3 linked regions of the Drosophila melanogaster genome follow. The protein of the gene in region 3 interacts with the protein of the main gene of each other region in a pairwise test. Each region holds a gene or a part of one and is shown on either strand. Other genes may lie near its edges.

What was found.
Region 1: the proteins of CG15696 (region 3) and GATAe interact in a two-hybrid assay, tested with the Drosophila melanogaster proteins (one large-scale study listed by BioGRID).
Region 2: the proteins of CG15696 (region 3) and CG31612 interact in a two-hybrid assay, tested with the Drosophila melanogaster proteins (one large-scale study listed by BioGRID).

Annotation. Positions count from the first base shown.
Region 1 is NT_033777.3:16,007,639-16,020,823, reverse strand, and holds GATAe (GATAe), read right to left. Parts: upstream 8,551-13,185; 5' UTR 8,086-8,550; coding exon 8,041-8,085; intron 4,597-8,040; coding exon 4,259-4,596; intron 4,116-4,258; coding exon 3,182-4,115; intron 3,114-3,181; coding exon 2,618-3,113; intron 2,560-2,617; coding exon 2,229-2,559; intron 2,168-2,228; coding exon 2,071-2,167; 3' UTR 1,691-2,070; downstream 1-1,690.
Region 2 is NT_033779.5:21,789,082-21,799,520, reverse strand, and holds the start of CG31612 (uncharacterized protein), read left to right. Parts: upstream 1-4,073; 5' UTR 4,074-4,127; exon of another isoform or gene 4,128-4,275; intron 4,276-10,439.
Region 3 is NT_033777.3:20,842,805-20,851,271, forward strand, and holds CG15696 (uncharacterized protein), read left to right. Parts: upstream 1-4,263; 5' UTR 4,264-4,306; coding exon 4,307-4,846; 3' UTR 4,847-4,944; downstream 4,945-8,467. Other genes in the region: CG15695 (uncharacterized protein), read left to right, coding at 1-229, 281-575, 644-1,825; RpS30 (ribosomal protein S30), read left to right, coding at 8,062-8,139, 8,227-8,467.

The sequences.
Region 1 (13,185 bases), 4.8 Mb from region 3:
CCCTGTAGAAACAATCGTTACTCGACTGTTATTGGACATGAACAAATGCGCGTTCGCCTTGGCCAATTTGCAATTAACTTAATAGAAATTCAAATGCATGCAAGGCTCCGAAGATTAGCGGATCGCTCTTGCCAAAACCCCTTCACCCAACCGGTGATTCCCCCATTTCTTGCGCCGTTGTACGTCTGTCATAATTCCGGCGATAATGTCAGTGCGCTGCAACTTGTATAGTAAGTGTGCCAGGGGATCGCTGGCGAGGGGCAGTGCGGCGCTGTGGCATCTGAAAAATGGCGCCCGCTGTCGTATCTTGTTGCCTGTCACATTGAATTATTATTTTACGGTCTCGCCAGCCCTCCGCTCCCCGCTTTTAGCCAGGAAAAATGGGAAATGAAACAGGTTGGTCGCTAATGTTTTAATTCGCTGCTGCAGAGGATGTGCCGCTGGCTGCAGGTGCGGCAGCTATTAGTGGTACGCTTATTATGGATTGCCGAGTTATGAAAGCATAAATACAATTGCGATTCCGATATACTTTATGTGTCCGTCTGACGGGGCTAATTAAAAAGCGTATGCGGTAGCAGTAGCTCCTTTCAAGACGGCTGTTCATGCAAAAGGGCGGAAAAAGATTATGAATTTTCATTACTTTAGGATGTCGTGTATACACTTAATTCAAATGCAATCTTTTAGAGCTCGAAATGATCAAAAAATAGCATAAGATAACCATCAGAGATAGAGAAATATACATTCATTTCGATTTACAACTTTAAATAAGATTTTAGCCCTCTTTGGAGCAGTTTTACAATGCCCGAAAAAAACAGAAAAGAAGTGAATATTTTCTGGTCAGCTTGGGCATTTGTAGTGCTAGTGTGATCATTCCTATGCTGTCCATTATTTTCTATAGTACTCCACTAGTTCCATTCCATTTCGATGCCCTCGAATCCATTCCATTCCACTTGCACAACTTGACGCTGCACATAATTTTTGCCAACACATTCCATAGCTGCCGGGTGCTGGGACCGCCGTCTCATTACTCATTCGCACCGCAGTCTGGAAACCGCAACCAACTTGGGGCTTCGGTCCAAGTGGTAGTCTCTCCAGTGGAGCCGCGGCTTGAGTTCGAATCGGTAAACTTGGAGCGCCGGCCAGAGCGGACGCTAATAAAAGCGGTCGTAAAACAAGTTTGCCTAATTGATCGAGCGTACGCCAAAAACAAAAAGAAGGCTCGGACAAAGAGAGACCCCAAGCGCAAGGCGTTAATACCATACCTCCTTCGACTCGAACTCAAACTGGACTCCATTCCCGGGCTGTGGGGCATTTTTGCCATACCATGCCATACCATCCGAGCCATGCCATCCGTACCGCCGACAGCAGATCAAAGGCAGCGGCTGCGGGCGGTGGCGTTACTGTGCTTCGGACAGGCTTTTAAGCGATGACACCAAATCGCTATTTAGACACTGCTCCAATGCTTCGGTGATCCGCGCGAGATCTGGGTTCCTCGTCTCTGGGTTGCCCCATCGCGGGTCTCTTGCCTGCCAACTTGTTAAGATTTTATGGTCTCGCGCTGTGGTCCGTGGGGGTCATTAAAATTAATTTGGATCAATTTGGTTGGCTGCCAAATTGTTGACAATGAAATATAACGATCTCCACCAAGGTACCTCGCATCCTGGTAAAGCCATCAAAGTCCGAGTGCCTTGCGTTTACAACTTATTTATTTTGTAGAATTAAAAAGAGGCTTAAACATACAAAATCGTAGGCTTCATTATGGGCTTGTGCTGTCTTGGGCTAAACTACCTCTATATAGAGTATAGCGATCCTAAGTGGTTGGCACAAATCATTTCAAAACTATTTGCTGTAAGCAGTTGACTAAAAGGAGGAAGACATTTGCACAGTTAAATGGTTACTCAAGACCCGGAAAACCCGGCAAAATCTTCCTCTAACTGGGACATTGGTCTTGGCTATATAGTATGACTAACGGCTAGGGCTTAAATAAATATTTTGGCAATTTTTGAAATTTGGGTTTGGTTAACTATAGGTTACTTTAGTGCGTAGCTTAAGCCATAAGTCAAAGCTAGCTTAGTTATTCGATGATCGCTCTGGCAGACCAGTGCGCGTGATTACGCTGGGGGTCAGTTCAGTGTTGGAGCTGCGACTGCTTTCGATGGTGGGTACTCTATAAGGTATGATTATTATTGAGGAGTCCGACAGGGTAGCGAAAAGTATCTTTAACTTACGGCTGAACTATCTGACGGTTTATCGGCACCGTGCCGGGCAGATGGGGCGATTGACTCTGTGGCGTTGATTGCTGACTGTAAGGAGAATGGCTCTCGCCGGTCACGTGATGACGGGCGGACATGTTGAGCGTTCCGTCGGGGGTGGGCGGCGCCGTCGCATTCAGCGAAATGGACACCACCCGTTGCCCACCCGCTTGACCCGTCGTCGACATGTCGTGCAGCTCCGGACTGGAATTCTGCTGGCTATTAAGCTGGCTATTCAGCATGCTAACTGGCACTTGGGAAGGATACAGCGGACTGTTGGCCATCAGGTTGACTCCCTGCGACATGCCTGGTTGGGAATTGGGATTAGTTTATTGCATACTGTAATCCCTGGCAGGTGTACTCACTCGGCAGCGGTGCTCGGTGCATGGGTGCTCCTCCGTTGTTCTTAGGCTTCCGTTTGCGCTTCTGGATGCCCTCCTTCTTCATCGACAGCGGTCGGTTCATGTTGTGCAGCTTGTAGTACAGTCCGCAGGCATTGCACACCGGATTGCCCTCGTTGTTGCGACGCCACAGGGTCGTCGAGTTGGTCTGACAGTTGGCGCAGGTGACCCCGTTGCGCCGGTTGTTGGGGGCGGCGGCGGCCTTGGGCTTCGCCTGCCTCTGGGTTATACGGGGCGCCATCCGCATAAAGGCCGGGCAATTGGGACAGAAGTACTCGCTACCCTTCCGCAAGAACGGCCCATGGCAGTTCTCGCACTTTAGCTCGTGGTTGGGCGACGATGTGGACGAGGCGGTCACCAGACTTCCATCGTACTGCCCTATGCTGCTGGCGGGCGGCCAGTGGGAGGTGCTCATATTGCCGCTCCCGTATTCATCAATAACCTGCGGATGGAAGTTGCTCTGTGCAGCATGCGGGAGAACAGTTAGTATGTACCGCCTCAAGAACCAGTAACTTAAATTATACTTACAAATTGAACACTCTGGTACTCCGGCGGGGCGGGAGATGCCCATAAAGGCTCGATGCCGTTGCCGCCCTCAAAAGATATCGTCTGAAAAGTAGCCGGTCCAGTCTGGCGCAGCAGTCCAGTCTGATTTAGGCCAGACTCGGACTTGGCCAAGAATTGACCGGTGCCCGGAACACTGTAAATAGTGTTTCCCTGCTGAAGCGTTGCCGCATAGCTATTGCTACTGAAGCTGGAGCTGGGCGGGAAGGGGGCATATGCGTTGCCTAGGTCGGCGTAGGTCTTGGACTCGTTGGCATGCACACTGCCATCCACCACGGGTACATCGTAGTACATATTCGAGGCGGATGTCTCCGGTCCGGCGGTGGTGAAGCGTACATCCTCCGTAACGAAGCGCACGGTTCCACCATGCGAACTGGTGGCAATGTGAACCGTCTGGGCCGCCGCCGATGCTGCAGCTGCCGCCTGGTGTTGGTGGTGTTGCTGCTGATGCTGCTGCTGCTGGTGCTGCTGCTGCTGTTGGTGGTGATGCTGCAGTGCCTCCGCCTCGCTGCTGATCACTATGGTCTCGCCGTAGCTAGCTCCGTTGGGTGTGGGACATTGCTGTTGCTGCTGATGCTGGTGTTGCTGCAGTTGCTGCTGCTGTTGTTGCGACTCCCCCGTCGCCTCTCCCTTCTCGAGTGTTTCGATTTTGATCGCGGCCACATCGTCACCGTTGCAGATAATAGGATAGGCGAAGATGGTGCCCGGCGGAGCTCCGGCAGCAGCTCCCACCTGTTCCGTCACCTCTGCGTTGCGTGGCGCCATCTGCACGTAGTGAGTGGCTCCGGGAGATTGGTGTGCACTGCGCTGGTACTCGATGTGGCTATCCGAAGCAGATCCTGAGCTCGCGTTGCTGGCGTTTGTGCTCGGTTCTCCTTCACGAGCTTCGTTTAATTCACTGAAATGTTGTTAATAACACTGTTAAATAACAATGGTAAATTGTAACTATCGATTGCCATTTGCATTAGATGATTGTGTTTAAAAATGAAATTTGTGAATGCTTATGTTCTTAGGAAAAGAAGGTCTCCAGAGGTTACTTACAGTGTGCCGGCTGTGGTGAGAATACGGCGCTGGTTGCGTGGCACCACCACGTACTGCTCCTCCGGTTCGCTGACGCCCGCTTGGCCCGTCTGCACCACCACGCCCACCGATGTTGCGGCTTGCTGTTGGTGTTGTTGCTGCTGCTCCTGCTGCTCATCCAGATTGTTGGCCGTCTGCTGGGCCAACTGATCGGCGCCGTTGCTGGACTCGAGTTTGATTTTGTCCAGCAGTTGAAGCTGCTGCTTGGTTAGAGCCTGATGCTGTTGCTGTTGCAATTGTTGCTGTTGCTGTTGCTGTTGCTGTTGCTGCTGCTGCTGCTGCGTTGTCTGCTGTTCCATCTGCAATGAGCAAGCGACAAGTGTTGAATGCCATGTTTCGCCCGGCTCGTCTCAAAAGTGTGGCTCCAGTTCCGGCCGTTGCAGTGCGAACTGCCCGCCTCGGTTTCCGCCACAAAAGTCAACAAGACGCAAGCCCAACCAAGACCGCTGAGACGGACTTCAAAGACACCGCCCGCGCTCGACTCACAGCTCAATTTGTCGCCTACAACCGTAAAGTACCAGAAACTGAGCCGAACGGAGACGGGCTTGGAGGCGACCCCTCTCCTTTCTACCACTCAGTTGCTCAGTGTCAACATTGTCGAACACATTTTTCACTTTTATTCCATTTCATTTCCACCAGCAGAAGTATTTGCTCACAGAACCCTAAACTCAGAGCGGTGCCTTGGTTTCGTTTTCATTTTTCTTGTGTATTCGTGGTTTTTTTTTTTTTTTTTTTTGGTTTAGTTTGGCTTTTGGCGGAAATTAAACTTGGCCATAAAATCGCTTTGCTTTCCCCGCCATACGTCAGTCGCTTTTGGGTTTATGACCTCATTCCGTTGGGGGTGGCACTTCCACTTCCACTCCAAAGCCCCATACCCATCCCCATCCCCATTCCCATCCTCGAGCTTGTGTCAACACATTCGATCGTCACTGTCACCTGATTCACGATGCGGCCAGGTTGAAATTTACCGCCAGTCCGCTCATGACAAGTGCCATATAGCTCAGAGGCTTTCAGGTGGTTTCCACCTTTACCATGGCTATAAATATACCAAAAAATGTGTGTGCTTATGTGTAACCATCACCACCGTCAATTGAGGAAATCCACAGCAACACTAAAGGAAAATTTTTGTGGCCATTGAAATATATTGCAAAGATAATTGCTTTTAACTGAGATATAACCATATACTTGTACAGGTGTTTTTTTTTTCCGAAAATAATCACCACGCTGAATTGATTTAATACATTCCATAAAAATCCCCACTCTCCCTTTATATGAAAAAACTAATACTTTATCTTCCATTTAATGAAAATTGATTCACTTTCGCAGAACTTTAGGTTGACGTGCCACAAATGATTGATACATTTTTTGCGTGGACACAAGCCAAGTTCAATGATGATTCAGTTGGTGACAAGCCGTAAAAATGAAAAATCTAACGCTTACCAAGGTACAAAGTTTAATTACTTATGTGGAAGGCATATAAATGGGGGACGAAAGAGTTCCATGGAAACTGATTGCATTCCGCCGGCGGTGATGACCGTGCCAAGTTTTCAACGTCTTGGCCAAAGTTCAAAGAATTCCCTGGATGGAAAGGGTGCGAGATAATGTGGTGCAAACGTCACTTCAGACAATCGTCTGCCCGAAATGCAGATAAACCCGACTTTGAGTGTGTGTATATAGTAGTAGTACGATAGGTAGGCCCCCATGCACGTGCCATGTACCGCGAAAAAGTTAAGATACTACGGCCGAACGATACGGACAATATCTTATCCGGGCGCTATCAATGTACATAATCAGCTGCTGCTGCTGCTGCTGGGACTGAGAGGTCATGGTTGGTATCCCCCAACTGCCCGCACCCACTCTCAGTTGCGGCTACGTCATCAATAGGGACAGATATATCCAAGAATTACAAAAGTTGTGCAAGCGATGTTTGTCACCCGAGAATGGCAATGGCATGCGCTATTTGCTCGGCTTAGTCAAGAATCGTTGCGAGGGTGTGGAGTCCGCTGAACTTATGAATGAAATCTGCCCAGTCACACCCACAACCATACACACACACACACACACGTACATTTCGTACTTTATCTATATAAACAAAAGATATTGACTATATAATCGCACCTCGTTTCGCTTTCGTTGAGCTTGGGTTCGTGGTTGAGCAAATTTCAAAGGCAGCTCTGACCAAACATTTTAAGGCATTTAGAACTGAATAGAACTATAAAACTTGAATATAATGCAGTTGTGATGAATGCTATTTTTGTTAAAATTCTAAATTTCTCGAGGAAATTCTTTGCCAGTTTTACTTTTTATTTTAGACTTATAAAAAAATATGAACAATTTCTTGGGTAAGACTGCTTAAAGGCTAAAGATGTGAGAGCACTTTCAAAATATCTATATAATTAACAAAAGAATGGGAAGTAAATAAATGTACCCATTTTTGGATATACATTTATACCCTTTATATCTGCCCTCGTTAGAAGATCCTTCGATTAATTAAACTTCACTGCAGTTGGCTAATGAAAGTGAGATAAGACTCTCGACTGCCAGCTGCATTTACAGCTCTATTAAAGGGCCATCAATCGCAACCTTCGCCCTCTCTCCTATCAGCCATCATCCACTGTCAACTGGCGACGCGTGTCTAATAAAAGTATCTGCAACTGGAACTGCAACTATCGATGCCGCCATTGAGCAACTGTTAAGGGACTGTTCTTCCATTGGTCGAAAGGACACTTCCGGCAGGATAAAAAGTACCCCCAGATGAGCCAAGGGTTGGCATTCATTCACAAAACCAACCCCAAGCCCATGAAGGATACGCTAGAGACAGGGATAAGGAGCAGGACCAAAGCGAGGTGATAAGATTGACATAAATTTCACATTATCCGTGGCCAGCAAAAAATGGGTAAAAACAGTCCCTTTTCATGAATGAAGAGGAGCGAGCAGTTGAAAGTCGGCTGCGTGTTTCAAATTTTATTTTTGTCAAAGGTATTTTGACGCCACCTTCGATCGCAGCTGAATTTGGACCTCATAAAGATTAGCCATCTTTCCACATTTAACTTGCTTTCTTGTTGCCCCGTTTTCGTACCCATTCTCGTTTTCTTAATGGTTTCGGTTCGTTTCGGTTCGGTTTTTCTTCCAAGAGCAGACACCAAAATAAGTGTCGCAGTTTGCCGCTGCATCCCAGATGACTCATTCATTATAAATCAATTTGTCTTATCTTATTTCCCTGGCGCTAGAACTGAAAAAAATCCATATCGCTGCCGTTTGCGGGCTAAAATCATTTTCTGGCTCGGTACACCGAAGGATGTAAAATCTATATGGCTATTCGAGCTGTAAATACCTTTGAAAGCTCTTTATACTCCGTTAATTAATAAATTAATATTTATTCGTGCCTTGCGACTGATCTATAAACTTGAACTATCTGCTTTTAATGACCCTATATGGCCTGTCTATTTAGCTTAATGAACTTGTGTGAGAAAACGTTAAAAACTTTTATGATCTTTCAACAAAGTAGAAATGATAGATAGGCTTATAGAGATCTCGTAAATGAGCATCAAAAAGGTATTTAAATGTTTTTAATAGAGTTCACGTATAGTTGCTTTAAGCGGTCAGGTTGATATTCTCCATTCCGATATGGATTTTAAACGGAATTGGTTTTGAAAAGAAAATACCGACTTGGCAAACTTAATATATAATACCCAAAAATTACGCTGACTATTTTTGAATAATTATAAGTTTATTTTACCCACCTTCAGCTGCATGTTTACACTCGGTGAGATAGTTTTGCAGACCATCAAATTGAAGTTACGCCGCTTCTTTGCGTTTCTTCCAGCGTTTTATCTAAGATTGGTTTTTATCACTTGATTTCAGTTCTGTTGTGTTTTCAAAAATTTATCACAAGCACGGCTTGTCCAGGTGTTTGGTTCACTTCTCCTATCAATCTGGGCGCCCGAAAAAGTGCCGCGCAAAGTGAGCAAGTGGGGAAAATTGGCGAAAATTGACGAAAATTGGTAACTTGGGAAAGTAGGAACTTTGGAGCTTTGGGGGCGATCTAATGCTGTCACCCGTGGGGCGATTGTGGTTGTGGCCCGCGCGCAACCTTTGCCAGTTAGCAGTGATACGAAGTGCTATTTTTTCGAGACCAACTGGGCTCTGGTGGTGGCACTGGTCTCCGGTCTATGGGCTCGATACACTAAACACTGAGCACTCTGAGCACCAAGCACCTCACTTGCGATGACAACAACGACGGCGACGCAATGCGGTGCCTGCGGCGCGTTTGCCGCCCAATTAGCTACCCACACCGATGAAGATCCAGCGCCTCTGCGGTTGGGCGGCCTCACACCTGTGTGGGTGCGTGGTCCTGTCGGTGTGGCAGCGTTATGATTTATTCTGTACCGCCTCGCCTGGTATTGGTTATCTTATCGACACACATGCGATAAGATACGCAACGAGTGTTGGTGCCACGGTTGCGATAAGTATCCGTGAGATACAAATTGCGCCTGCGCGCTCGGCCGATTTTCCAACACACCTATGTTACACCAATGTTCCGAGGTTTCCGAAGAGTGGCGTCAAGAGGCCCACCAGCCGGCACAGTTCAGCCAGCACCACATTTGATTCCATTTCCACCCTTCAGCGCTCCTCACCCTCGCCCCCTGCTATTTGTCAATTGTGCAATTTAGTCTAGCGCATTTTCTAATTGCACTCATAAAACACTTTTCTGGCAAACTAATAAACTCGAGCAACGTTAGTCAACGTCAACAGAATATCATCGGATCGGGCTTGGGCCTGGAAAGTGGGACTGGGCATGGGCATGGGCACGGAAACTTTATATGACCCCACGAACAGTCGCCCGAATGTGGGCCGCTTTGACAGCTCGACTGCTCGGTTGTTGCGCTCCACTTCCACTTCTCCAGTTCTTCTAGTTCTCCACACTTCACAATCCACTCTCGAGTGTTGTAACTAATAAACACCGCCGGAGGAGGCGGAGGTGGAGGGCAGGAGCACACGTGGTCGAGGATCAGGTGCGGCGCATATATTGCAAAACCCCTGAATTGTCACCAGCCAGGAAAAGATTGAGTTTGAAGTGGTTGGGTGATTGGAGTGCTTGGTCAGAAATCTGATATATTTTTCAACCTGTCAATTACAGATACTTTGTAAGCAGAGATGTATGTGTAGATAAATATTGTAAACATATCTTTACTATATATAGGGATGTAGTAGCTAAATAGTACATTTTATAATAAAATGTATATGAAAACCATGACTTAAATTCTAAAAAATTCAATCTAGGCTTATATGCTTAATGCTAAGCCCCTATGGCAATCCGTACCAACTCCTTGCTTTCTTTTCTTCGAAGAGCTGCAATCTGTAAGTTAGCCACATATCTTGGCCACCCAGCCAAGTTGGCCCAGCGAATCATAAATTGTTTATAGTTAAAGTCATAAAGCAAGCAGATATATGACGGCCATTAACATGCACAATCCCCTCGGAGTTGCTTATAATGCCACAATTACGGGCAACTTTCCGCTGCTCCCATGAATGGAAATCGAGTTGAGGCGATAATTTTAATTGTTGCAACGCATGCGGTGCATAAATCATGGGCAAATCTTAAGAGCAAAACCGGCAGACAAAAAGTATCTAATAGTAGCTACTGCTGCGTGTCGCGAAATATCTGTGCGGTGATTAATCACTCAAAAAGTTGACGGCTATGCCAGTTTCGATCGTTACAAATGGCGCTACACGAAATCAACATTACAGGAGATTAATGCTGAGGAGGAGGACTCCAAACTGGATACCCGGCCACAGGACTGACTCATCGAGGTGGCTCTCTTGCCACGGCAGAGCCGGGCAATTAATACCCTAATTGATGGCACCGCCGCGCCTAGCTTTAGGTGCTTTGCCGGCGAATTTACGACCCTAAGACGGAAGACTTAGGGGCGGCGAAACAGACAGAGTCTTAAGATTGCTGACCATGGCATATCGTGTACACCCGGAATCGTACACCCTTCAACTTGTCCACCTCCATGGAGTTTCAAGTGCTATGTCCGTGAAAGACCATAGAAGCGAACCAAAACCTTAAGAAACCATAGCCTAAAAGTTATCTAGCCTCAAGTGTTCTCGGCCAGTTGACAGTATCGCCGATCTTTGTCTGGAATGACGCTATGGAATTTAATTTTTATATATTCTTTATTGCGCTCTTGTTTTGGTTATAATTGTATTATTTTTCTAGCTTTCCTTTTTGGTCTTTTTCCAATTTTGTTTGGCGGCACAAACGGGTTGTTCTGATAAGGGGAAGAACTCTTTGGAAATTAAACGTGCCAGTGGCAACAAAGGCGTGCGCCATAGTTTTAATTATAGTCGGCAGCAGGGGTGCGATCCGATTCGATCCAAAGTCCCACCCCGCATGGCTGGTTGCCCAATCCCTGCCAGCCGCAATGGCGTGGCTCAATCGAATAAAAATGGAATGGAAAGATGGAGATGCAAATGGAAGTGCCGTAATGGCTCTCCCTTTTGGGCGGCTGCACTCTGCGCTTTGCAACCGCTGGCAAATTGGGTTCAAGTAAATTCTATTAACCCGCGCCGAGGTCATAAATCATCCGGCCAAAGCACGCTAACAACATTTCGGACATGAGTTATGAAAATGGAACTGCGCACTCCGCACTGCGGGATTTCATGGTCCCAGGTGGAGGAAGAGGCACTGCCTACCAGCTGGAAGAGCAGGAGGTCCAATTCCGCAGAAGGAGCTGGCAAGGAAAAAGTTAAGCTTTCTTTGTTTACGCTCCGAAGAGTTGTCACTTGGCTAACGAATGTTCATTCGTTTATTTATGGATTGGACACTCGGACAGTGATGTATCTTTCGAGTGAGTCAGGGGAAAGTTCGGATATCAGAGAAGAAACAAGAGTTTTTGTGGAGGAGCTTGTTGAGGAGCGGTAAGTATGTTATTAAACCAATAACTTATTATTTATAACCAAAACTAATACAATTTTTATCCATATCTTACTATGATTTCAATTAACATACATTTTCGATCTAATGCATATTCCATTCCAACTGCATAGCCTCTTGCGATTGGCAGTGGTCTCTTTTTTGTGAGACTCTCTTGCTTGTTTGTTAAGTATACGCACCTTTGTTTGCCAATGGGGCCAGGTTGTGACTCATCACTATAACTGGCAATCCATAATAATCCGACAGAGGTGCTCAGTGCGCTTGCTGCTGGGCATTGTTTTGGCTGGGAAACGTAAGACATGAAACGGAGGCCACAACGGCAACAAAACAGCAACGACATCGACGCCATTAACGTTAACAATCATGGCTACTGGGGTTGATTGGGATCAGCACTTGGAGTGGGTACCCGGAGTGGAGTACGGACTGTGTTGGGTTTTCGATTCGGTTTTGGGTAGGTAGCTGGTTAACTGACGACTCCGTCGACCCCAAAACGCATACAAACATTATTTATTACTTATGAGCGCTGACATTTTGTTGTTCGTTGCTTTCAAAGCCTTGCGATTTAGCCATGAGAAATTTATGGATGGGATTCTCGTTGCCACCGATTTGAGTTGAAATTGGACCGAGTTGTAGCATGTCACTTTTCCGCGGCTGTCTGAGGAAAAATGCTCTTCTGGAATGAAAACTCCGTTGGGTGTTGCACACCCGCTGATTGCTCCTATCAACCAAAGCGATTTTCCCTATCGCCAACGCCTCTAATACGGCCCGTACGTATGTATATGGTATACATAGAGGGACATATCGAATATCTGAGAATAGATAGTGGCCTTAGATAAGTTAACGTATCTTAACAGAGATTTCGACTCCACAACTAGAATTTAGAGATATCCCTCCCGGTGGCAGGCCCCCAACAAGACCCAACCGAAATCGTAAGTCAATCGGTGGCGGATACTTAACCTAGTGCACGGCTCCTCCTCTTGGACAAACATCCGAGTCGGTCTTGGAATTTGCTTAACCGATAATGGGGGAACTCTATGTGTGACGTCGCCAATTCCGTTCGAGGCGCGGGATTGGGGATGGGTTGTGGACAAGGGGACGAGGTTGACCCAGCTAGATAAAAGTATCTAATCTTGGCTTTTTAGCGATACACGACCACCAATGCAGCCGTATTTATAAGATAATGAAGATTTCCTATCAATTGGACTCGCTGCTGGTTGTTAGTTGTTGTTGCAGTCGTTGCTGCTGTTGTTGTTGGTAGGATATCGGTATCAGTTTGGGGTATCTGCAGCCAGTTAAGGTTCCATTTCCAGTTTGGGTGCTGGTTTGGGTTCTGGGCCTGGGCCTGGGCATGGCTCTCTCTCGCGGTCTGTATCAGTATATCAGTGTTTGAACTGATAATGTCCCAAGATAATAAGCGATAATAATTTGAATTTTTCAGTAATTCCTTAAGTTTGGACGCCCAGCGGCATGGAATCTAATCACAGTTGGTGAGTGTAACTGGGATTTTCAACATGGAAACATTGCTTTTGCGCGTTCGTCCCGAAACGAAAAAAAAAGAGATGATCGGCTTGCCTCTAAGGATATAAATCTGTGATAAAGTGCTTTAATAATCACAAAATATATATCAAATGTGGATTACTCAATGGCCGGCTATCCACACAGTGCACCTAACAAAATCAGCCGTTTATATAAGAGCTTCCAATGAATTGTGGAAATTTTGGCGTGTGTTTTGAGAATTGAAAATTTGATCTTTGGCTCATCGATAAGATACTGCTGGGCCCTGTGTATAAATTCCAACTGCCAAAGCAGCGCTCAAGTAACACTTGAGAAAGCGAAAGTCAACTTTGGAAGTTAATTAACGATCCGCTGATTAGATTAGAATATGCTTATTAACTACTGCCCGCGATACGACAAAGGCACCTCAAAATTGTATTTCCAAGAAATCGCC
Region 2 (10,439 bases), on a different chromosome or scaffold from region 3:
CATTTGGGTTGAGGTGGGTCTTGCCCCTTACATCCCGCCACCTGGCACCTGTCGTCCCTTTGGAGGACTCACTTGCATCCCGTCATTTGCTTATCCTTTGGACGGACTTTCCGCGTTGATTGATGGCAACTTTTGGAGCCTGGCGAAGACTAAGTGGCCCGATGGTTTCCTCCCTCGATAACCTTTATGGCTGCGGTTGGTGCTAAGTTATGACGTGTTAATAATGGCGCATAAGCACAGAAGTTGTGGGCGTCACCTGTCTGAATTTAAGTGACGCATGCGAGGCCGAAAGTCGATTCATTCATCGGAGCAGCAGTAGATGGCGCACGCGAAATTGATTGATTGTTAATCAGAAACTGAGTAAGCCACACAACTGAAAATTGACAGAATTTAAAAAAATATTACCAACTTCAATTGTCTATATAATTCATATTTCAAAAATATATGATAAATGATATAGGAAATGAACGCTTTAGTAATTATCAGGCCCTTTTTGCGAAGTAAGTCAGCGATTTTCGCTTGCATGCTACAGCTAGTCGCTCCACGCCCACCAATTCTCATCTTTTTAGAAGCCTGCACAATGAAGATCCGAGATGCGATCACTAAATAGTGATCCTCTGGTGCTGTTCGAGCATTTCAAAATATTTTAATCGTGGATTTCAGTGGATGTGAAGATTTATGAACATAATAATAACAAATTTGCTAATTGATTTATTGTCGAGTGTATAAACACCATTCGCTTAATTTATGCCGCTGCCGTCTGAGTATTCCTTCCTTTTGTACTTCCTTTGAACCAGCTCGGAGTCAGCGAATTTATGCACTGGAGGAGCAACCAGTGAGCTAAAGCAATCAGGCCGGGCATCGAACGACGAGCACTGGGCGCGCATTTTGGGATGGGATGATGTACGACGAATGTCCTGCTACAGTCGCAAGCACACACACTCACACTGGTGCACAAACCGTTCATTATAAAGGAGTCAGGTCGTCAGGTGAGCTGAGCGAGAGACAACGCAACCGCAGGCAATCACTGGCAACAGGCAACACAAATTAATTATTAATCAACGGGAGAAGAAGCATCTGAAGGAAGTGGGGACCGTAACCCTCCCCTTCAACGCTCGATCCGCGATCGTCCAGCCACGAGAGTGATTTATGCCCTCAAGTCTCTGCTCCCAGAGCTAACGAATCTCAGAAAGCCAGCCCCTATCCAAGCCCCAATGCCAGACCGAAACCAACTGACAATGTTCCGGCCAAGATGGACGATGCCGATGGACGGCGATGGAGATGAAGACTAAGCCCAAAACCAAGACGAAGACGAAGGCCATGCAATCAAGCCCGGCCAACACTCAGCGGTAGATCGCACACAAGGTCAAGCACTCAAGCAAAAATGCCGGTGCTTGATTTTTAATTTAGTTTTAATTTTTTTTATATATTTTTTAAATACTTGGCTTTAAACAACATATGAAGCGATTAAATTAAACAGATTAACTTACATATAGCATTTGGGTATGGGAAAAACTTTTATTGTTATTATTTGCCATTGACTTATGGATTACCCAGATTTTTTAGAATGTAGGGAACTTTCATATTCTTAAAACGGGGATTTTCTTTAGTTTTATTATTGCGTTTTATTAGCAGATATCAATTTAATTCAATACAAGAGAGAAGGCTATAGTCGAGTTCCCCGACTATCAGATACCCGTTACTCAGCTAGTGTGAATCCAAACGCGAAATTTTATAATTTTTCTGGAATATCGGTATCGATATTGGGAAATAAAATGAGAACAAATTATAAAATTGTTCAAAAGTGTAGGCGTGAGCGGATCGGCGGCTTTTGGGCGTTAAAGCCATGGCAAACATTTTTTGCAAATCGATAGAAATTTTTAAGACTTATAAATTTATGGAAAAATTTCGAATTTCGAAATTTCGTTTTGTGCGGCTTGTGGGCGTAAGCCACTAACATGGGTCAACAAACTTGCGCTGCGGCTTTGGGTCTAGAATCTGTATGCTCTCTCTTTTATAGTTCCTGAGATCTCGACGTTCATACGGATAGACGGACATAACTATATCGACTCGGCTATTGATCCTGATCAATAATTTATATACTTTATATAGTCGAAAATGCTTTCTTCATCCAACGAATCTTTTGTAGTATACCCTTTTACTGTACAAGAGCGAACGCTGTAGTCGTGCTCCACGGGGTGTACGAAGGGCACAAGATATACTTCATTTGATTAAAACTGATTCTACATTCTTATCTAGTACACTTACAATCTAGTATACTTACATATATTTACTGTCCTGATGTAGGGTAGCGATGACTCGTTTTTCTCGCTTGGTTTCGGAATCTGACTAAAATATTGAGAAACTGTAATATATAACCAATATTTTTCGTTGGCTATAATGTCTGCTGCAGGGCGTCCAGCAAGAAGACTTCGCCGCTCTGTGAGCCTTTTGGTTCCACCCATATCAGTCAGCCCCCAAGTACGTCAGTCAGTCAGCGAATGGATGTTGTCCGTTGGTCCGGAGTCAGTCCGCCCGTCCGACTCTGACTGCCCATCGCACATGCAATGGCCGCAGCATTATCATTTGGGATACTCAGATCTTGGCGTGTCGAATTCAGCTTGCGGTGTCCGGGGTCCGCGCGGCGGATTGTGGAGATGGTATGGGAGGGCCTCAAGTTGCAACACAGACACTGGGCGAATCAGAAATGCCAGAATTGAAATCGCAGTTTAAATCATTTCTCGGTGGAACTGCTGCTTCTTCAGCGCCTCCTCGCCTACATGGTGCCCAGTCACAATCGCCTCAAATCTCGAATAACAAATCGCATAATTACGGGGAAGCGGCTGTCCATTGCGTACCCTCTCGCTCCCACTCTCTGCCATCAGTGCGTCCCGCTCTAGTCTTCTGCCTGGCAGCCAAACGAAGACGAAGGAGCGAAGGCTCGAGACGGCGATGCAATTCGGATATGAAATATTTTAGCTAAATGGCAGCCGAAGAAACAAAAATGTGGGATTGAAGCGTATAAATCAGCGGGTATTCGCTCCGTTGCCCTCTGGAGCCCACCTCTCATTTCGGTCCTTTGGATGCTGCATCAATATGTGGATGTGCAGCGGCTGTGTGGTGTCTATGTGAAGCATAAAATCAACCTGAGGCGATAAATCGAAAAGATTTTGCGCTGAACACGCAATTAGTTCACCTCTAGTGGAGGATTCCAATGACATGGAAAAATGGTTTTGATTTCGCAATATAAATGGATTTGCCTTGTGTCCCCGATTTCTATGGACACAACTGAAGGCAGAATATGTGTGAAATGTTTTCTTTGATTGGTGAATTAACATTCTTTTCTTTCTCTATCTACTATAATATACAATATTTTTTATTTATTTTTTTTTTAATTATTGCTCTTTTAAATATACGAACCAAACACACGTTAGAAAATATTGATATTTTCGGGACTTTACGTTGGACAAAACCAGACACTGCTATTCTTATGAACAGCATAAAAGTTGTGAATTTGCTCAAGAATTTAAGCAGAAAAGGATAACATGAAAAACTATTGGGATTTTCTTTTTATTCCTATATACACATTCCATTTTACAAAAATAAGTGAAATAAAAAGTCGATTCCAAAAAGGGAAAATACCTTTGTATTTCTTAGTTTCCCTCGCACTGCTATTTTATTGAACACAGCTGTAAATACATACATATCTGGGACACAAACGATGAGACACAACTGCGAAACATATTCTACACCTTAAAATATTTAAATAAGAAGTAAAAAAGAGTTGAGTAAAAAAACTAGACAGAACCGATCCAAATATTCTTTATTAAGATCAATAGCCATCTCAATCTATCCGTTCGTATTAACCTCGAGACCCCAATAGACCTTAACCGTTAGGAATTATAGCTCGATAAATGTATATATGAAAAAGATCACGAAGTCCAATCAAAAAAAATTGTAAGTAAATTACCCCCTAATCAGAAATCTCTGGTGTTTTTCGAACTTAAAAACCACTCAAATATTCGAACTTCTCTCTCTCAGTTGCACAAACGATTTCGAATTTCGAACTTCTTGTGGGAGAAGCAACTCGTCGCGTGCGTCGTACGCTTGCTGGTGAAAAGTGCGCTGTGAATTATGTTTTATTATCTGTGTTTTACAGTTTGTTCTATCGAATTTAAATGAAAATACGCATCAGCAACAGTGTTTAAGCTCTGCTTTGATGAGAAAAAACTATTTCCTCTAATCCAACCTTGCTACTTGCACTCCGATCCACAGGTTCGTAATATACATATGTATACCCCAAAATTATAAAATAAAATGAACATATTTATGTTTCGACTTGAACTAAGGTAAATACTATGGAATTATTGTTTGGTAAATACATTTTGGTTGCTTTTGGCCATTAAATTGTCATTAATTAAAGGTTTGCTTGCATACCGACAAAAATCAGCTGTTTTGCGGTTTGTAGGGTCAGTGGCGTACATCTCAAGAGGGGGTTAAAACATTTTCGTGTAAGCTAACAACTTGAAAGAATCTATTAGTGGTTGATATGGTACCTATGTTTTGTGAGTACGTTTAAGAACTAATAAATAAATATTTCGTTGTTTATTATTAGCGAAATGTTACCATATATTTTGTAACAATTTCCTAGTTCGAGACCCTCATCCGAACGCCTCTGTCCACAGACTGTTTTCGAAAATTCGACAAGCGAAAGAGCAAGAACAGTTATTGTCTCGTGAGCACAAGAGCGCGACCGGTTTCTGTTTCGCTCTCGCATGTTTGAGTGATTTCGAAAGATGGATGAGTTACTTCGAATTTTATGGGAGAAACAAATTTAATTCCATTTGTCGCCATTTCTGAAAAAATTAATCATTTTACAAATTAAATCGGAAGAAAATAAAATGAAATAAAAAATAAAGGTAAACCAACAATGCGTCGACGAATACATAGTAACGAAAAAATTCACTTTTGTTAAGTTTTTTCAAACATTTAACGTACATGTACATGATTTAAAATATTATTCTTTGCTATTCAAAAAATGTTACTAGGATTGCATCTCCCTAGGATAATATATTATTAAATAAACAATTACACGGAAAACTTGTTTTTTTCTACACCTATTACTTGTTGTTTAAAAAGGACATAGAGAGAAGAGTTGGTCCGTTTGATGGTCGAGACTTCGGAAACTAAAAAAGCCGAAATTTTTAGCTATCAAGGTTTTTGCAGAATGTTGCCGAGCCCACGTCAACGTCCACAAAACCGCCAAAAAATTTACTCCCACACTTTTACAAAATGTTTTCAGTTTTCTGCCCTTATAGTAAAATGGTATACTAGATTCGTTGAAAGAATATATGTACATATTCATAAGTAGATATTATTATAGATGATACTTATGTAGTAGCTCATTTTCATTATGTGTTATCTATAGGAGCTGTATTTGCTATTATATCAGGTTTAATTCATTGATACATATGTATCAATATATGTACATATGTATCATTCATTGATAGCCCAGTCGATCTGGCCATATACATATGCCCGTCGTTATAAACGTCGAGATCAGGAGACTAAGCATACAGATTCTAGAGACATTGTAATAGAAATGTCAATTGCCAATTTTTATAGATTCTTTGTACCAAAAACATTTTGTTTACGCCCCTCCTAACTACCTACAAAACGCACAAAACGGCCAGGACAACATATTAGAACAATTTTGTCATATCTTCTCATTTTATTTGCCAAAATCGATATAATAAATATCGCTATGACAAAAAAATGATGACATTTAATCTGATAGTAGTGGAACTTGACTATAGCATTTTCTTTTGTTCTTATTTTCCCTTTTTCTTTCTCCAACTTTTATCAATATGCAAAAACAATTTTTTTATGTATGTAAAAGCTATAAAACATAAAAAACAAAATTTTTTAAGGAATTTCCTTGTTTCAAAATGTTTTCATATATCCAAACTATTTCTAAAAGGAGCCCTAAACATAAACGCAAACATATATCCTCTTTGGTCTATTTGGAAATTAATAAAACGGACTTTTGCATGGAACGAATTTAAGCCAGCCTATAGTCAAGGTACAAAGCTGGTAAAAGTGCGAATTAGAATTTTCAACATTTTTCTGACATATCGATCGAAAGAAATATAAACTAAGTAGTAACGGGTAAAAATATTAACCAAAGATCGGATGGAAAATAGTTTGGCCATAAATACATACATACGTATATACAAATTGGAAGGTAAGGTGCCCTGTAAGCCGATGAACATTTGAGGAGCTCATAAAAAATGACTTAAAATTAATGTATTGAAATGTATTCGATTGGTAATCGAAAACATTTAAATTCTAAATTGCAAAATTTGTCGCTGATTTATTGTTTTGTAGAGCAGCATTTTTACGAAACTTCTGCGCAGGGCCAGTTTCCGAACCAAAGTGAATACAACAATGAAGAAATGGCTATTCCTTGTCTCACTCACTCACCAAACTCCATTGAAATGTCACTCAATTCCGTGTCAGATTGGCCACGCTCACTGGCCATCGTTCCTCTCAGAAGTTAGGAGTTAGTTAATTCAAGTTCTGAAATTTTTAGAAATGGAAGATATAAGATAACATCTTAGTTAGTTGAAAAAAATAACAACATAATATAAAATAATTAGTTGAAAAATATAAAAGAAAATTAATAAAAATAAAAATAAAAATTAATAGAATTTTATTTCTACCAAGACGTTATCTTCCATGTACTTTCGCAAAGGACATATCTGTTTAAACGACCCTGTCAACCATGTCCTTCATGCTCTTTTCTATTTTCAAAATGTATCCTATGCCCAAGACATTGACAATAGCAAGGACGAAAAGCGGACAACAAAGCAGAAGCGAATCAGAAACGCAAATAATATAGGATAACAGGAGAGCTGCGAATCCTGGAAATGCCTACAAGAAGGGTGGTGTTTTTAGACGGGTGGATGAGGGCGCCCCTCGGTAGACAATTAAAAATATATTTAAGCTGCCAGAGGTCTTGGGTCTAAACTTACTAAATGACTGACAAGTCCGTTGCCTTCGAAGCAAAACACTGCCCCGAAAAAGCGGGGCTGTTAAAAACAAGACAAAGGGAATTTTAAGAAAACTTCCCTCGCTTTTGTTTTTCCCTCCAAAGCACTCGTGTTTTTTTTTTTTCACCCACTCCAACTTCTCCAATCCGTAGCAAAATCAGTTTGAGTTGTGTGATTGTGTACGTGAGCATAACGGTTAAGGTGGCCAAGACTGGGTGCAGTCCACCCCAATGGCCACCCCCTGTCAGAATTGATTGATTGAATTGCCACTTTATGAAATTTGTGAGTCTTCGGAGATGTGCGTGGAAATTCGTGTTCTCGTCTTCGCCTTTCCTCTGGGGTGGATCCGTACGGTGGGTGGGTAGGGGTTTTTCTTGGGCTGGGTGGCTCTCCGAGGGTTGTTCCTTCTGATTTGTGTTTGTGTGCGCGCTGGCTAACAATTTGCAGCATAAAATACATAAAATTATGTGCAGCGCTGAGGCGGCCATTAAACTTGATAGATTTATGACGGACAGCAGCAAGGGAGCCGTACAAAAACAAAGCGAAAGTGTCTGAATGGGGTCTTGTCTTTCAGGCCAACCCCCGTGCAGATATAAAGATAGCTGATTAAAATTGCAAAATTGTCCAAATGAGATTTGGCGCCCAGCGGATATTCTGGAAAATGTCAGCGATTTATATATTTTGTTGCCTTATACATTTTAATACTTTTATATATTTACGATTAGCTTTAAGATTATAATTATATCTTGATTTAAACAGAATTAATATGAAAGCATATCAAAGCATATTACTCAATTATACACCAAGATTTTTTTTTAGAGAACGTGCAGATACTGGTAATGCTACACCGATTCTCACACTTACAAATCCATGCTCATTTTCTTGCGGTCAATTGTTGCCTTAGCCACAACATTGATTTAAATAAAATCAAAACATAATCTAAACAAGCCTCTAGACATGGGATTTGTATTTTCGGAAGAGTAGTGGGTATTTAACAGCCGACTCACTTGTTTCTTATTTTATACAAGGCAAGTGAAAACTCTACAGTCGAGTCTCTCGACTCTCAGATACCCGTTTCTCAAATAGTGGGAGTCAAAGCGAAAAAATTTAAAATTGGCCAAGTAAAATAAAAAAAATGCACACATTTTTTCAATGATGGAAATTGACAAGACAAACAATAAAAGATAAGACACAACAAAGTATGGTCGTGACAGTTTAGTTTAGTTTCTAAAACGCGGTTGCACAACGTGGGCGCCACTAGAATTTGGATGCTTTTGGCTTTAATAGTTCCCGAGATCTCGGTTACTGATCCTGATCAATAATTATGGACACCTTACAGGGAATCGCTCCAATTCAACAAATCTAGTATACCCTTTAACTCTACGAGTAACAGGTATTAAAATCAATGAACTTGAATCTCCTTGGGCTACTTCTTGAATAACCGTAATGAAAAAGCATCCAATTTAAATGCAAAATGAAATGGAGTGAAAGGCTTATTAGAACAGATGGGCGAAATTAAGAACTGGCCCAAATAAATGAAGTAAGATATCTAGAACCTATTTCTTTTTTTTTCTGGAGCTGGCAATTACAAAATGATTGAATGGTAATTTCGGAGGAAATGTTGGTTTTTGCCTTTTCTGTTTCAGGTCTATGAGGCTGTTCGGGTGCGTATGTTTGGAACTGGCATAAATTCCCATTATTTATGGAGGCTGCCCCTGTTTGTGATATTTTATTTCGCGCAAGGCAAGCGGAGTATAATTTGCGCCCAAAACAAACAACACTACAAAAAATGCCGAAACTTAACAAAGAAAAAGCGTCCTGAATGTTTGGAATTAATTGCCCAAGCTCCTCCAATCACAAACAGAAAAAGAAGCTAAGAGAAAGGGAGAAAAAATTGTTTTAATTAATAAAATTGAATGTGTGCGAAAATTGAAAGGATTTTTCCGGCCCCTTGGTGGTGCTGTTGTTGTTTCTGCGGCATTCATCTTCGACGCTCATTCGCAGGCTTTCCTCATTGGTCTCATTTTGAATGCAAATGATTTATGCCAGAAAGTGTCCTGGCCGAAGAGTCGGGGCCAAAAACTGGATTAGAGGGTGCCAGCGTCGGCTCGTTTTGCTTCACACCCCCTAAACTTTTTCGCCCATCGCAAAAGAGCGGGCACAGCCGGCAAAGTTTTAGCCCCAAACTTTGGAGGTCGCCTACGATTCCTCAATAGCCCGAGGGGTATGTGCCGTTAGAACCGAGTGGGCGAGGGGAGTTTTTAAATATTTACTCAACATCCTATTATCCCCATGCGGACTGGGCTAAGGACAGGCAGCGGACCACAACCCGGGCTTGTATCAACATTTAAAACGATAAACTTACCACATACACAGACACCCGACAGAGAAAAATGCAAAAAGGACGAAGGACACGTCTTGTCTGTCACACCAAAATGTCACCGCGGGGTGAATTACTGGCAAACCAAGGGATAAAAATGCTGAACAACAAAAATGTGCGAATGTCGGAAAAATACTGTTGGGCTTGTAAATACCCTTAAGTTTCCCTTAAAAATTTTTTAATAATATTTGAGCGAAGTAAGCTTACATTTAAACAGTAATAATATCATCATACATAATATCAACCCTACATAATCTACCTGACTTTATTTTCAGTGTATTCAAGTTTTTAATCGCTGGAAAGATTCCACTAAAAAAAGGCACTACGTCTATGTGTAAGCAGGACGACATCAGAGCGGGGCACGCGCCTCTCACATACAAACGCACAAAAACACACTGGGACACAAAACAAACAACAATGTGATAGACAGAGCAGGCCAGAAAAAGACACACATAGCGGGTGAAAGGGACAGAGCGACAGGGGGAAATGGGCCAAGCGTGTGAGTGATTTATGGCGCTGCAAGTGACGAGGACGAACCAGAATTCTTCAGGATAATGCCGACATAACGAGATTGTTGTATGTACACATTTTCTCCTTGTTTGCGCCGTCGGTTCGTTGCCGTTGTTGGCTTTCGGATCCGGATGTTCTGGAAGGAGGAGTTTTTGTAGGTGGAGTCGTTTTACGTTGTGTGTACACATAATGACACTTTTCGCTGAATATTCCCGCTCTGTTGTTGGCGTTGCGCACTGCAAATAGGGGCGAGATATATGTATGTATTTATATGTACACATGTGTATATATGAATGTTTCCAGCCAGTGGCGATGTGTGTAACTTGTCAGTTTATTTAACCTGACTGCGTCTGTGGGCGTACTTGAGCCCAAAGGACCTTCAATCAAATCCGTAATCCGTACTCAGTACGTTAATGAGCTTCTCATTAATTTGTCGTCCACAAAGGCTCACCTGATATTTTGTTTATGTCCCCAAGCCCATCGAATTGTGCAAGCCC
Region 3 (8,467 bases):
TCCATAGCCCGCAGTGCCAAATGAGCCACCCAAATCCGTTTGCCAATAACATTCAGCACATCTACAAGAAACATTCCTATATAGTGTGTGATAAAAGTCGCGACATGATCACAGTCAACTACAATGTAACTGACAGCACGTACAGGCTGCACAAGAACGAGAACTCCACCTGCTGCTTCAAGCAGATCCTTCGAGCAGGAACTTCAGCCAATGCGGATCATAAGTACAAGTAAGTTTCCAAGGACATAGAGATGGACACTGAAGATTAGTATCCCGGCAGGCTGGGTCCTTGCGTAGAATTTCACCAGGACTTCTTGGTGCCAACAGAAGTGAGTGCCATGATCACCTATTGCCGTCGGCCTCCATTCGATAAGGTGTCGCAAAAGGATGCCTTCAGTTTTGTGCATCCGCGAAAGGATCAGATCGAAAATCCCACAACGCCGCATAGAAGAAGGCCCAGCGTTTTGCTGTGGGGCATTGATTCCATTTCCCGAATGAATCTTGAGCTTACGATGCCCCGTATGTACGAGTACTTGAACAATCAACATTGGTTTGAGCTTCAGGGATACAACAAGGTAAACAATAATTTAATTTTGAATGAAAACACATGGATTTATTAAAACTGCAAGCCTTTCTACATTAGATGGGCGATAATACGTTTCCGAATCTGATGGCGGTTCTCACGGGATTTAACAAGACCTACGCGAACGCACGTTGCCATCCTGAGAAGGTGCGTGGCCTGGATGCCTGTCCGTTTATTTGGAAGGACTTCAAGGACAAGGGATACACAACTGCCTTCGCCGAGGACTGGAGCAAGTTCTCCACGTTTGACTACTCTAGCAGGGGCTTTTTCAATCCTCCGACCGACGTGTACGGCAGACCACTGGTCCTGGCCGTGGAGAAGGAGCTAACGATATTACAACGGGGTCAGATGCCCTACTGCTTGGGCCGCAAGCCGGCTTCCGAATACATCTATGACATGGGCGTGCAGTTCACCATGGTCAACCGGAACAGCACCTTCTTCGGAATGTTTTGGACCAACACATTCAGCCACAACGACTTCTCTATGCCCTCCGCCATGGATGAGAGGATGGTGAAGTACATGCGGACGTTGGACAAGAACGGCATAATGGATAACACCATCATCATCTTCTTCAGCGATCATGGATCCAGGTTTGGACCATTGAGGAATTTGGACAGCGGTTTCGTGGAAGAACGCTTGCCCTTCATATATATCCGTGTGCCGCGTTGGATTCGTGAGAAGTACCCGAAGCTCCTGCGCAACCTGCAGATGAACAAGAACCGCCTGACGTCGCCATACGATATCCATGCCACCCTGAGGCACATCCTGGAGCTAGACACTCCCAAGGATAAGCTACCTCGTCCCGATGGCTGCTCCAGCTGTCACAGCGTTTTCGAGGAGGTGGACTGGTCGAGGAATTGCTCACAGGCCGGGATCGAGGATCACTGGTGCGCATGCAACAGCTTCTCCGACGTGCCCACAACGGATCCCAGCGCCAGGAGCATGTCCACCCAGCTGGTGGAGGCCATTAACGAATATGTGGCCAGCAAAAAAGGAACGAAACGGTGCAGTCGCTTGAAACTGAACCGAATATCCTCAGTCCAGAGAAGAGGAAACTCCAATCGGTATCTCATCCAGCTGATGGCCCAGCCGGGTGACGCTCTCTTCGAGGCCACCGTGGATTGGGATGCCAGTGCCCAAAGGATTCCCGCTCAGATGCCCAGCATCAGTCGGTTAGACACGTACGCCGCAAAGTCAAGATGCTCGTCGGTTAAGGAGACCAAAAAGTACTGCATCTGCTGAGTTCCAACTGCAAACTCTGGACAACCGCTAGACCGCACAAAAAAGGACTCGCTACTGCAATCTTTCGGATCTCGGAGCCTTTGTTCTCCGGAGCAATGGAATCTTATCACTGGGGTGGATCTGTGGCCGGATGGTTAGTTGCTGGCAACTACTACTTTTGGCAAACGTAATTGCAGCTCGGCAAATTGTGCGAATGGAAAATTAGTTGACAATTACATGACAATTGGCAGATACTCGGGTAATTGTCGAGTGATTAGAAAAAAATACTGGCTCTAATTAACCCAAATCTTTGTAAATATTTTTTAAGCTAGTTGTAACAGCCGCTTAGAAATATAAGTTGTATCAACAACCCAAATCAGTTCTGCACAGTTTGCTTTCTTTTATAAGGATGGAAAACGTTTAATTCATATTAAACATAAATGCACACAAAGAGCGAATCCTAGATTATCTAAATATATATACATATATATGTATCGGGTATCTGGATTCGATAAAAAACGTTAGTATTGAACGCTTTAAGAGAGGCAGATAGGATAGGATAAAGTCTAAAACTAGGGGAATATAATATATAGTTACTTGGCACAGAAAAGTATAACTGACTAACTGAAAATATACTGAAATAACTGAAAACCTATTCAATCGAGATTCCCACCAAGTAGTCAATGAATGACAGTGGCATGTGTTTTACTAATTCGGTGGTTGTCATATGCTTTTTTGAAGACCTCTATCATAAATGAAGTAAGCTTCTAAAGGTTAGTGGTTTTTGATTTATGTAAGTGTTAACACGAAACTATGACATACAATGGTGCTGTAAACGGGGAGTGATGACATTTTCAAAAAGCTTATATCTTGCATCGGTTCCATTCAATTTGTTACCCATTTGTGGATAGGAATTGCAAAGAATTCCTTCTACGCATGGGGAAACTAAGAAGTTTCTAAAGATACGTTAAATAATTTCAAAAGAGGCTTGCATATGGATTTCGAGTAGTAGTACGCATACAGGATTTAGTCGATAAAAATAAATCTTTCATAAATGTAAGGGTATAAGAGCTTCGGCTTAGCAAAACTAGATTCCCTTTTGCTTATCAATTTGTTAGATATGAAAAAAGAACACCCAGAGTTGCAAGGCCTAGATAATTACTTTGTTGTTTAACAGTAAGCACCCGTTTGATTTATCAGTTAATAATGATAGATAAGTTTTCCCTTAAATCATTGGTTGTGGGCTCAAAATTAAAAAAAAGTCCCATGAAGAATAATGAAAATGAATTAGTTTTCATACGTGTGTATGCCGAGTTGAAGTGATATTTTGAGTTTCATTATCTTCCATTCATCAGTCAAAATGTCAAATAGCATTCCCACTAAGAAGGAAAATTTGAAATAAGATAATTGGTTTAATTTAAATATGAGAAAAATGAAAGTCGTTGATAAGCTGCCATTTACGAGCTTTCCTCTCTTTTGCAAAGTAGATAGTATTCTATTGTGGTTTTTATATGCTGGCTATTCGGTGGTTATTTTCAATTAACAGTGTAATTGATACTTTAGGAACTCAGCGAGGGTTGCCTCCAAACTCGTTTCGCAAAGGCAACTGTTATGAAAACAAATTTACGAATCAATCAAAACATACGAGCATCAAAACATATCAGGCTCAACTTGTTTTCCCATCGAAAGGGATGGACTGAAGTGGAATGGGATGAAATAGGATGGGCGGGCTTGAGAAAAACATGGCAGCGGATGATTTCATATCGGGGGCAACTACCCCGAACATCGCCAACAAAGCCACAACAAATCAAAAACTATCACATTCATATTTGTATTGAGGCATATCATTATACACCGAAGATCAGATGCGCTTCGCTTAGAGCTTTAGAAAATCAGTTTAACTCATTAGCGAGGCTATAAATGCATATGACATACATATGGCATTATATGGCACTGGATTAAATTTTAGGATCGGACTTAATTAAGTTGGGAATTTCATGAGAACCTATAGCATTGTCACTTATGCATATGTATGAAATAAAGCACATATACACATACCAAACATTTAATTCAGTATATGATAAGCTCTCCCTCCTACTTTAAAGTTCCTATTACTGTAGTCAGGGTGTTCAGATACAATCATTTAACTGAATTCGAATCACGGCGAACCTTTTACAGGGCGTCAGAGACAATTGAACACGTGTACTTGTACTTCATTGCCTTCGTGGGCCTAATCTGGACCGGTGAGAGGGTAATTTGGGTGGGCCAGCGGATTTCTACCTGGACGGCGAGAAAGGGAAACGCCTATTAAGCGGCTCGTTGCTTCCGAATGAGAATGGAATTGGGCCAGGCCAATCTTTTCGTCCTGCCAGACAGGGATGGCGATACTATCTGCTGGGATGCAAATGGCGGCGATGGGAGGTCCTTGCATAAATAGCTCGTGGATGCGCAGCCAGCTCAGCAGTAGCAACTCGACCATCACAGCGAAAGGATCGCGCCACGATGAGTGACTTCAGCATCGAGTATATTTTGAACCGAGCCGGCGACAGATACGTGGGCACCAATGCCTCCTTGGGCGTCCTGCAGCGACTCCGTGCCAGCTTGCCTTTCCATCCGTACGCCCACCCAGCATCTTATGTCTCAAAGGAGTCTGGAGGATCTCCTCCAGCCTCGGCTGCGGAGGCTCAGATACCCGTCTACGATTGGCTGCAGTACACCCGGTACCATCCGCCCAAGTTGCCCAGAGCCCTCCGCCAAAATGCGCCCGCCAAAAGGACTCCTGGTCGCCTGCCCCGCATACCATTTACTCCGCAGCAGCTGCAGGCCCTGGAAAATGCCTACAAGGAGTCCAACTATCTGAGCGCCGAGGACGCCAACAAACTAGCCGACTCCTTGGAGCTGACCAATACGCGGGTGAAGATCTGGTTCCAGAATCGAAGGGCTCGCGAGCGACGGGAGAAGCGCGAAAAGGACGAGAGCTGCGACTCCACCTTCTCATCGAACGCCTCCAGTCCGGAACCGGAAATGATCGTTGTAACGTGAGCTGGAGCAGGATATCCACGAGGACTGTTTACTGTTACGAATTTAGTGGCTTTCTGTAAATACACATTATAGGACTAAGTAGACCCATAAGCATATAGAACCAATCTGACAATATTAAATCTGTTAATTTGAAATTATTGGGTGTTTATATGGGTTATCATTTAAAACGTTTCAGCAAACCAATAATATTTGAAACCACGCTTAAACTGGATATTAACTTTGGTGTTAACTTGTAAAAACAACCTTCTGAACTTATAAAGACAATTCTGCACGGCCTTGTAAAAAAAATCGGTCAGTCATGCAGAACTTGAATTTCAAAAGATTGTTAATATAATTATCATACAAATTAGTTTTATATTAGTTTACTCTTTTAACTTAGAGAGTACAGTCTAGTACACACATATTTAATGATTCTTGGGTGTAATTTATTTTATTTCGATTCAATTCAACGATTTCGAAGAAGTGCTTGTAGATATGTATTTATTTTGGTTCGACAAATACAGTTTTTTGATTTCTAGGAAATGTGAAGTACACCTAATTGATATGATGTATTGGCAGAAGTGTTCGGTTGAAATTCACTAAGGTTTGATTAACTTTTTGCTATCTGGGTACCTTACCTCATTTATATTATCTTTTCCGAGAATCGAACGATTCAAGGAATCCTAAGGAAGCCGTTTCCCTTTCAGATTACGAAATACCGTCGGCTAATTAATCGGTAATTAAATATAACTTTAAAAGTTAGAAAATTTATTGTTGCTGGATTTGTGCCATTTAGTAACCTTTTAATTAAACAAATATAATATATCATGCACAGTAACACAAACGTTCATTTTTTGAGTGCCATTTTGAAAAACAAGTTTTAATGCAAGATTGCACTTAACTTGAGAAAGTTAAAACTCTTAGACATTAAAAAGTAAGTAAAACAGTAGGTGAGATAAATTTAATCAATAAATGATTTATAATTTACCAATTTGCTTTAAAAAATAAAATAAAATAAAAAGAACTGCAGTATTACTTATTAACCGCCAGTTCACATCCATTTCACCTGAAACAAATCGAATATAGATTGAGTAATTTAATATTTCAATGCGGAAACTGATTGACTTCACTGTTTTTTTTCTCATGCCAACATCACATAATGGGATCAAAAATGCCGACCCCACATATATGATAATACATGCATATGTATGTGTTGCTTAAAATGAAACGCATATGGGAAAATACGCACGAAAAGGTGAATGAAAATGTGGAAATTCGCGTGCCGGAAAAACAGCAAATGGCGAAATAAAGACGAGGGGCAGGCTAAGCCGATTTGGCAATTGTTGCCGTTGTTTTTATGGTCAAGAGTAATTTCTTTTTCCGCTGCCTTTGTGTGCAAACATTGTAAAATATCAGTTTACAAAGCGGCAGTTCCTCCAAACAGTGATTTTGGGGGAAATGATTTCGGATGCGTTTCCCTAGTCCATTTTCAGCCACAAGGTCAGACAAATGAGTTTACGCAAATCCAGGAGCTGTCTGCCCCTAATCCCGAGTAAATCCGATCATGGGCGTAGGGGAATGCCTGGGATATCTATCCAAATCGAAGTGGACAACATAAAGAGGGAAATGCACGCGACACTTTGCTATCTTAAATGAGCATCGAAAGGTGGTCGTTGTCGAAGGGTTGAGAGTAATATTAAATTTCGTATCTGGTATCGAAGGATCATTAATACATGCAACCCTAAATTATATATATACCTTTAATAGTGTATAGCCAAGGTCTTCTTTTCAAGACTCCGGATTTCCATCCAGTGCCCATCCACATCCTCGGAGGATCGTGACCAATCTAAGCCGCACTCATTAGACGTAGATAATTCGTGCAAATTTGTCAAATCGGCTTATGATTTGCATTCTATGAGCGAATGTTTATGTTACTAATCTAGTCCTGTTTGACAAACAATGCGGCAATATTTATTCAAATGGCGTAGAATAACACACAGCCCACAGTCCTCCAGGATTCCCTCTTCCGTCCACCCTGCGGATCAAACAAAGGACAAGCGCAGGCGCATGCTTATGGCCCATTTTCCGTAAATGGTTCATTTGTACTCGTAAGACGAGGCCCACAAAAACTTGGGAAAACGCTGAAGATGGTTGCGGGCGGACTAGTTTTTGGGCTCAACGTAATACCCATTTTGCGTAGATTGCGGTAATCGGGGTGTGCTGGCTTAGCGAGGCGTCAGCCAGACTGTCCTTTTGCGATCCTTTGAGGGAAAGGAGACAATGGCATGGCCAATGACCATAGCCCAAGCTTTATTCGTGTAATATTGCAGAAATATTATAAGATTTTCGGTCTACGAGTAATGATATAATACAAATTTAATTATTTTCAGGCTTTAAAAAGTAACTCTCATAACTCTTTTAATTAGCAGGAGGATTTAAAAAGTGATTGCCTAATAATCAAATGGAAACTAACCTCTCATATATGCCAAGTTATGAAACTTATCAGTGTACAGTTTTGATTGTTTACGGGTAAAGTTAGCACTTCTTGAAATATTATTATTTTTTAAATAAGTATTTAAATTTACGAACGCAGTATATTCCCTAAACTAATTAAAGTTATTATTTGCTTTGGGTTATCTTTGAAAATCATAAATTTAAAGAAAAACATTAATAATAGTGTTATCTGTCTGAAGTAAAGTATATTAAATATTATTAATACATAAGTACATCGATTTTTAAAGCTAACAAAGCCGTTATAAAATACTAAAGTTCGAGAATATACCAAACCCTTTGAACAGAATTCTGACTGGTTACCCTTTAAGTTATCGATAGAAGCAATCGATTGACCAGCCTAGCTACCCGTCCCTCAATATTATTGCCAGACATGCAAATGCAATTCACTAACGCCTGACACGATAGTTGCACAACAAAAATCGATAGGCCCATCGATAATTCTGCGCCATCTTTCTTTTTCGGGATCCGCACACCAAGTTAAGAGGTAATCGAGTGATTTTTGTCGAAATATAATAGAAAATAGCCCAGTTAAACCCAAAATACCTGTGAAATGTGTGTGCGAGCGATTGTCAAGTGTGTTGGACGCCAAATGCCAACTGCAAAACGACCGAAAAAGGGAAAAATTGACTGAAACTCGGCACACGTGTTTCGCCCTACAAGTCAATATGAATATCTTCACTAATAAATGCATGCGGCATGGTTACTTTGCAGAGCGAATCATCATGCAGCTGTTCGTCCGTGGACTAGAGACCATCGAGGCCCTGGAGGTTTCCCAGGATGCCACCATTGCCGGAGTCAAGGTGAGTCCCCCCAATGACTGATATACAAATAACATAACCTAATTGTGTGTTCCCCATCCTCGTCCATTGTGGCCATCGCGATCGTAGAACCAACTGGCCCAGATCCATGGATTCAACGCCGAGGAATTCAGCCTCGATTGCGAGGGCATCACTCTGGCCAACGAGACTCCCGTGACCGCCCTGAGCTCCTTTGAGCTGGACCTCAACATTCCCATGCTGGGAGGTAAGGTGCACGGTTCTCTGGCCCGTGCCGGCAAGGTCAAGGGACAGACGCCCAAGGTGGAGAAGCAGGAGAAGAAGAAGAAGAAGACCGGACGCGCCAAGCGCA